Linked DNA regions of Ovis aries. The protein of the gene in region 1 interacts with the protein of each later gene in a pairwise test. Links are inferred from orthologs where the notes say so. Each region holds a gene or a part of one and is shown in the gene's direction. Other genes may lie near its edges.

Region 1 (4,041 bases):
CCCTCCCCAGCCAGCCCACCACGCCCCCCCGCCAAAAGGTCGCCCTCCTTGGAGCCCTCCCTGATGAAGACATGCCTGTCTTAAGCCAAAGCAACATCCTTTCTTTGGACCTTGGACCCCAATCACTGAGTTGGGTCCCACTTCGCAGAAACTCTGAGCCAGAAATTATATTTGGGGGGCCTGTGTGTCCTGGCTGTTGCTGGAGTGACAAGGCAGGCTCCTCGGGTCTTCCTTTTCAAGGAGGTTCCTGGTGTCTGCCTCCCACATTTCAGGGACTGGAATTAAAACCTTTCCTGGGACTCTGGCACAACATGCATGTGTCTAATTTACCTTGCAAGGGAATCAGGGCTCTTGTGGAGAGTGCTTGAGACAGGCAGTCTCTGCTGGGGGCCGTGGTATCTCCTCCAGTGAGCGGAGCCTACCCCCTCTGACTTGGGGTATAGGCTGGGGAAGGGGGCATTCCCCCACACATCTGCTCCAGGTGTGGGGGGCTGGGCCCTGGACTGCCTGGTGCTGGTGAGCAAAGTCTGAGGCAACTTGTGGCACAAACCGAGCACGTGGCCTGGGTGCTCCGTGCCTAGAGACTGGATCATGTCTGCACCTGCCCCAGTCTCGGCAGATCGGCAAGGCAGGCTGGCAGATCCTGTGTGCGTGGGAGGCAGCCAGCAGCAGCACCATGTGCTGACGACCTCACAGCCAGACTACCCCCCTGTTCAGCGCTGAGTGTCAGAACCACCCCCAGAACCTCCACTAAGCAAAGGGGTTAGTTTCCATGGAGACACAGCATCCTTTCTCCATGGCAACCTGAAATCCCCAAAACCAAGTTAAGCTCAGGCATGAGTCATCTGTGGCCAGTAGGGGGCACTCTCCCAAAAGGCTGACCTTAGGGCCAGGGACAGATGAGCAGTTGACCACAGACTTGAAGGTGCCCCAAGGGCGAGGCCCGTGGAGACCTTGGCGGGCCCTGCTTAACCCCTTCTTGCCCATCTGTGCGGTTCGAGGAGTCTGGCAAGGCTGCAGGAAGCGCCGTGTGGAGGTGGCAGCCCCACAGCTGGAACCCTGGGCAGGCCACCTGCATGGAGTGGATCCCTGCCCCCAGAGGCTGGGCCCAGAGCAGAGGAAGCAGACACTGCCCGGGCTGAGTGGACACACAAGAGTTAACTGGCGGGTGTGACAGGGCGAACCGCCCTCAGGAAGTGTTACTCACCATTGGGAATGTGAGTGCTCCCGCCTTGGGGGCTGGCTTCTCTGAGTCCCGGGAGAGACTGGAGGAGCTCCCAGCCATGGAAACCCCTGGGGAGCCAAGAACAGGCCCCCTCGGAGCCCCCTACCCAGCCAGCTTCGCTTCTGGGCACCTGGAGAGAGAAAAGTTAGTGAAGTTGGAAGGGCAGCCCCGGTGGGGTGGGGTGGAAGGTGGGGAACCCGAGCTGGGTCTGTCCCAGGGCCAAGGAGGGGGAGACGGTTGGGCAAATCCCTGCTCAGGTCTGGTGCCTCCACCCCGCACCCCGGCCAGGCCAGCCCAGGACCCGCGGTACGATGTGCCTGGTGCCAGCGGGGTGCAGGCAGGTGGATCGCAGCGGCCAGGGCGCACCGTGAGCCTGCGGGAGCGCCTGCTGCTCACCCGGCCCGTGTGGCTGCAGCTGCGGGCCAACGAGGCTGCCGCGCTGCACGTGCTGAGGACCGAGCCCCCCGGGGTGAGTCTCTCCCCACCCCTGGGGCTGGAGGCTGAGGGTAGGGGGGCGAGGGGCTGGACACAGAGGACCCAAGCCTCTGATCCCTGTCCACTCGCAGACATTTCTGGTACGGAAGTCTAACAGTCGCCAGTGCCAAGCCCTGTGCGTGCGGCTGCCCGAGGCCAGTGGCCCCTCCTTCGTCTCCAGCCACTGTATCCAGGAGACCGCTCGGGGTGAGAGGGACTGGCCCGGCCGGGCGGGAGGGGCTGGAAGCATCAGGTCGGGGCGCAGGGGGGTGCTCCCAGAGAACAACCTCACTTCCCATCCCTCAGGCGTCTCCCTGGAGGGCTCAGACCTTGTGTTCCTAGACCTGGTTCAGCTGATCTGTGCCTACTGCCACACCCGGTGAGCCTGCCTGCAGGGCGCCTGCTCTCCACAGGGCCCTGGTTCCCTTCCTGGGACACCTTGTCCTCCTTGCCCACGGGCACTCCCGGTGCCCGCCACCCAGAGCTTTCCTCACTGCCCACTTTTTGCTCCCCTCTGGCCTCAGGGACATTCTTCTCCTCCCGCTTCAGCTCCCCAGAGCCATCCGCCAGGCAGCCACCCACAAGGAGCTGGAAGCCATCTCCCATCTGGGCATGGGTAAGGGCTCCCGGGCTACCCACTGCACAGATGGACAAGCTGAGGCCAAGAGGGAGAGGGAAGGTGAAGGCACACAGCCTGAAGCCTGGGCCTTTCTCCCAGTTGGGTCCCCTCCCTGAGCCTCCCCACCCCCACCCTGAGGCCCAACCTGTTTCTCTTCCCTAGAGTTCTGGAGCTCCTCCCTCAACACCAAGGCTCAGCTAGGCCCATCGGAAGGCCCCCCACTGCCCCGGCTGAAGCCCCGGCCCCCACAAGAGCTGGACCAGGGCACCAGAGCTGCCCTGTGTTTCTTCAACCCCCTGTTCCCAGGGGATCTGGGCCCCACCAAGAGGGAGATATTCAAGAGGAGCTTCAAAGTGCGTGTGTCCACGGAGACCTCCAGCCCCCTGTCTCCCCCAGCTGTGCCGCCTCCCCCAGTTCCGGTGTTGCCAGGGACAGCCCCCAACCAGACAGAAAGGTTGCCCCCTCGCCAGCTGCTACGGAGGGAGAGCTCGGTAGGGTACCGGGTGCCAGGGGGCACCAGCCCCAGCCTCCCGCCGCTGCCCTCCCTCCAGGAGGTGGACTGCGCCTCCCCCAGCAGCTCAGAGGAGGAGGGGGTGCCGGGGTCCCAGGGGAGCCCAGCGACCTCACCCCACCTGGGCCACCAGCGGCGGCGGCGACCCCTGCTTCGGTCCATGAGCGCTGCCTTCTGCTCCCTGCTAGCGCCTGAGCGGCAGGTGGGCCGGGCAGCTGCGGCGCTGACACAGGACAGACACACGGCCGTGGGACAGCTGGTGCAGGACCTGCTGACCCAGGTGCGTGCCGGCCCCGAACCCCGGGAGCTGCAGGCCGTCCGCGAGGCCCTGAGCCGGGCCCGAGCCATGCTGAGCGCGGAGCTGAGCCCGGAGAAGCTGCTGCCACCAGACAGGCTGGGTGAGACTCCAGCATGGGGTCCACTGTCTCCAGAATTCAGCTTTTCTGCCTTCCTCTCTCTCTGCCTCTCAGGGCTGGCCTTTCTCAGCCTGTTCTTCCATGTACACCCACCTTGTCTCTGCATCATTCAAGCAACTTCTACCCACCGCCTCTCTCCCAGTCACAATGATTCCTCCTCGTTTTCATCCCTCTCCCCTCCTGAGCATGCGCTTCCTCCCCGGGACCCCCACGCCACCCCGGTTCCTCTGACCGTTGCCTGCCTCTCCCCCACAGAGCACGTCCTGGAGAAGTCGCTGCACCGCTCAGTGCTCAAGCCGCTGCGGCCCATCCTGGTGGCCCGCCTGCGGCGCCGGCTTTCAGCCAACAGCTCCCTGGGCCGCCTGGCTGAAGGCCTCCGCCTGGCCCGGGCCCGGGGCGCCAGCGCCTTCGGGTCCCACTTAAGCCTGCCCTCCCCAGTAGAGATGGAGCAGGTACGTCAGAAGCTGCTACAGCTGCTTCGCGCCTACTCACCCAGCGCCCAGGTCAAGCGGCTCCTGCAGGCCTGCAAGCTGCTCTACACAGCCCTGAGGACCCAGGCGGGTATGCCCCCTCCCACCGGCCACTGCCAAGTCAGAGGCCACCGGGCTGAGGCCCTAGGAATGGCACAGCAGGGAAAACAAAGGAAAAAAAATACATATATGTATGTGGATCCACCTCCCCATTTCATAGATGGTAATACTGTGGCCCAGAAAGCAGAGCATCCACTCCCCATCCATTGCCCCTGGTTGCCTGGCAGGCAGAGGGAGGGTCGTTGTCTAAGATAAGTAGCTGAGGA
Region 2 (3,517 bases), on another chromosome or scaffold:
TTTTGGCACATTAAGGGATAACTTGGGAGTCGTCATTGAAGCTTAGGTTTTACAAGATGAAAGCATGGCAGGAAGTGTCAGGTTACTATGGAGAAACATGTTTCAGGAAACTTAAGGTTTAAATACTGTGCTTTATCCAGGTTGTTTAGTGAAAGACTGCTTTCTGTGTTGTTTAGAATAGTGGGTACAAAGAATATTGTATTTACTTTTAGAAGAGGTGTGGGTTCCAGAGAGTCAGTTCAAAGATTGTTTTGATATCTGTTTATTTTAAAATGGGAATGGGGTGGTGATGGAAATGGCTTTCTACTCAAAGCCCCTCCTGTTGGTAATTTAAAAAAAAAAATCAGTTCAGTTCAGTCGTACAGTCATATCCGACTGTTTGCGACCCTGTGGATTGCAGCATGCCAGGCTACCCTATCCATCACCAACCCCCAGAGCTTACTCAAACTCCTGTCCATTGAGTTGGTGATACCATCCAACCATCTCATCCTCTGTTGTCCTCCTTTCCCTCCCACCTTCAATCTTGCCCAGCACCAGGGTCTTTTCAAATGAGTCAGTTCTTGTATCAGGTGGCCAAAGTATTGGAGTTTCAGCTTCAGCATCAGTCCTTCCAATGAATATTCAGGACTGATTTCCTTTAGGATGGGCTGGTTGGATCTTCTTGCAGTCCAAGGGACTCTCAAGAGTCTTCTCCAACACCACAGTTCAAAAGCATCAATTCTTCAGCTTTCTTTGTAGTCCAACTCTCACATCCATACATGACTACCGGAAAAACCAAAGCTTTGACTAGATGTACCTTAGTTGGTAAAGTAATGTCTCTGCTTTTAAATATGCTATCTAGGTTGGTCATAGCTTTTCTTCCAAGGAGTAAGCATCTTTTAATTTCATGGCTGCAGTCACCATCTGCAGTGATTTTGGAACGCAAGAAAATAAAGTCTCTCACTGTTGCTATTGTTTCCCCATCTATTTCCCAGGAAGTGATGGGACAAGATGCCATGATCTTAGTGTTCTGAATGTTGAATTTTAAGCCAACTTTTTCCACTCTCCTCTTTCACTTTCATCAAGAGACTTTTTAGTTCTTTGCTTTCTGCCATAAGAGTGGTGTCATCTGCATGTGTGAGGTTATTGATATTTCTCTTGGCAGTCTTGATTCCAGCTTATGCTTCTTCCAGCCCAGCGTTTCTCATGATGTACTCTGCATATAAGTTAAATGAGCAGGGTGACAATAAACAGCCTTGGCATACTCCTTTCCCAATTTGGAGCCAGTCTGTTGTTCCATGTCCAGTTCTAACTGTTGCTTCCTGACCTGCATACAGATTTCTCAGGAGGCAGGTCAGGTGGTCTGGTATTCCCATGTTATTAATAATTTTCCACAGTTTATTGTGATCCACAGAGTCAAAGGCTTTGGTGTAGTCAATAAAGCAGAAGAAGATGTTTTCTGGAACTCTCTTGCTTTTTTGATGATCCAACTGATGTTGGCAATTTGATCATTTAAATGAAGCCACCAAAAGGGAAATAGAATTATGGCTTAATTCTATATAACTAAAGTTACTCCAAAAATACAAATAAAAAATAGGGAGTATCATTCAAAATTAAAATAAATATGTAAAGTCAGGGTAGCAAGCAGATTAGTCCCTGCCCCCTCCCTCTCCGCCCCCATACGAGGAGTTTCTTTTAAAAAAAATCCTGAAATCATGACCTTTAGGGTAATACACAGGGCAACTGAAAGGGAACTAAGACAAGGTGTGAGAAAAGTGAAGAGACGATGAGGCATTGAGGCAGGCAGACTTCGTGTTGTCTCTTTTGTTCCAAAACGGTTACAGTTTGTTCTAAGGACTGATGCCTGCCTTTGGGTTGGAGATAGACCTGAATTACAGCTATAGGTGTGTTTCTAGTTTTCCTAGAACTTGAGATGTAGAGTTTTAGGTGTATATAAGTTAATTATGAAAAATGGAAAAAAACTGTAGTAGAGCTTTTACAATCTTCTTACATGTTTCAGATGCGAAAATTCAGAAATGTTTAGAACCCTTTCTCCACTTGGAAGCTGCTGTGAATAGATTTCATTCAATAGGGAATTGACATAGTAGGATACACTTTAATACAGTGAAAATATTTTGAGTTCTGGGTAACGTTATGTTGGTACTTGGGCAAGTAAGCATAAATTTTAAAATTATGGTATTTTTCTTACAGTCTTATTTTGTAACGGATTATGATCCAACCATCGAGGATTCCTACACAAAGCAGTGCGTGATAGATGACCGGGCGGCCCGTCTAGACAGTAAGTAACGTTCCTTTATTTGATGGTTTACGTATCATATTTTTTTAAGTAAGCTTTGAAGTTTTGCTAGGTTAAATAACTGCAGTTGAAATGTTAGATGATCTTGAATATAAGTTCATCTTTTTCATTAGTTTTAATCAATGAATCTACACGTTGGGCAATTTAAATGTAATATAAAACAGTAACTGGATTGAGAGCAGGTAAAATTAGTCATGTCACTGTAACTTGTTAGAGTTGTGTTTATTGGGACATTTGGAAAAAAAACAAACGAGGTTTTCGCTCTTCCTGCATTTTGATGAAGGCCCAAATGGGTGAGGTAAATATAGAAAAGCTTCAATATTTGCTAACTTGCTTAGAGTTTATAGCACAGAGGCCTTAGCAAATAGTGTTTTGTGCTTGGCTAAACATTCCACTCCTCCACAAGAGAAAGGGCTGTTCTTTTAACTTGTATGATTCTTCTCTTCACAGAGATCAATGAATACCTTAGCACCTGTACATTCAGTATGGCATTTGCGGGGGTGGGGTGCACCAGCATTTCCTTCTTGAATTTACAAGTATCTTTTTCAGTTCTTTTCACAGAGGAGGTAAATATCCAAGTGACTGTAGAGGTTATCTGAGACTGTCTGCCTATATGGATTTGATATTTTTAACCTTGTCATTGCTATGCTAATGTATTCTAACTACGAAATCAACCTGCACTGATGAAGATAACTCTGCGACTGTCTGCCATTAGAATACATTTGTCTTTAGCATTGAAAATAAAGTACTAAAAGGGGAATGCTGTTTAAAAAATACCAAGTGTGATGTTTTCCAAAGGATTCACATTAACTGGGCCTGCCCATGTGAGGGAGCCATTTTTGTGAGATGAACACGTGAACATCATTACATTTCTTGTTTTTTCTTTAGTTCTGGATACAGCGGGACAAGAGGAATTTGGAGCTATGAGAGAACAGTATATGAGAACTGGCGAGGGTTTCCTTTTGGTCTTTTCAGTCACAGATAGAGGCAGGTTTGTATCAGTATTTAACTGTAGATCTCTCCTGTTCATGTCTAGATCACTGTTCATTAAATTTGCATTCTTGTTTGTATAGGAAAAGGAAAAGTAAGAAAGCACTAAATGGGGCAGGGGAGTCTGAATTCTGATACTTGACCAAATTAATGAATTTGTTTTTGTTTTTAGTTTTGAAGAAATCTATAAGTTTCAAAGACAGATTCTCAGAGTAAAGGATCGTGATGAGT

What was found. The genes of interacting proteins can lie anywhere in the genome.
Region 2: the proteins of RIN1 (region 1) and RRAS2 interact in binary tests that used the Homo sapiens proteins (3 or more experiments, as listed by UniProt). The link is inferred for Ovis aries from reciprocal best matches to the Homo sapiens genes RIN1 and RRAS2.

What each region holds. Positions count from the first base shown.
Region 1 is NC_056074.1:40,814,702-40,818,742, reverse strand, and holds the start of RIN1 (ras and Rab interactor 1), read left to right. Parts: upstream 1-1,241; 5' UTR 1,242-1,283; coding exon 1,284-1,369; intron 1,370-1,513; coding exon 1,514-1,694; intron 1,695-1,791; coding exon 1,792-1,906; intron 1,907-2,005; coding exon 2,006-2,078; intron 2,079-2,223; coding exon 2,224-2,315; intron 2,316-2,480; coding exon 2,481-3,227; intron 3,228-3,500; coding exon 3,501-3,806; intron 3,807-4,041. UniProt on the Homo sapiens protein: Ras effector protein, which may serve as an inhibitory modulator of neuronal plasticity in aversive memory formation. Can affect Ras signaling at different levels. First, by competing with RAF1 protein for binding to activated Ras.
Region 2 is NC_056068.1:38,175,449-38,178,965, forward strand, and holds part of RRAS2 (ras-related protein R-Ras2), read left to right. Parts: intron 1-2,190; coding exon 2,191-2,278; intron 2,279-3,184; coding exon 3,185-3,287; intron 3,288-3,458; coding exon 3,459-3,517. UniProt on the Homo sapiens protein: GTP-binding protein with GTPase activity, involved in the regulation of MAPK signaling pathway and thereby controlling multiple cellular processes. Regulates craniofacial development.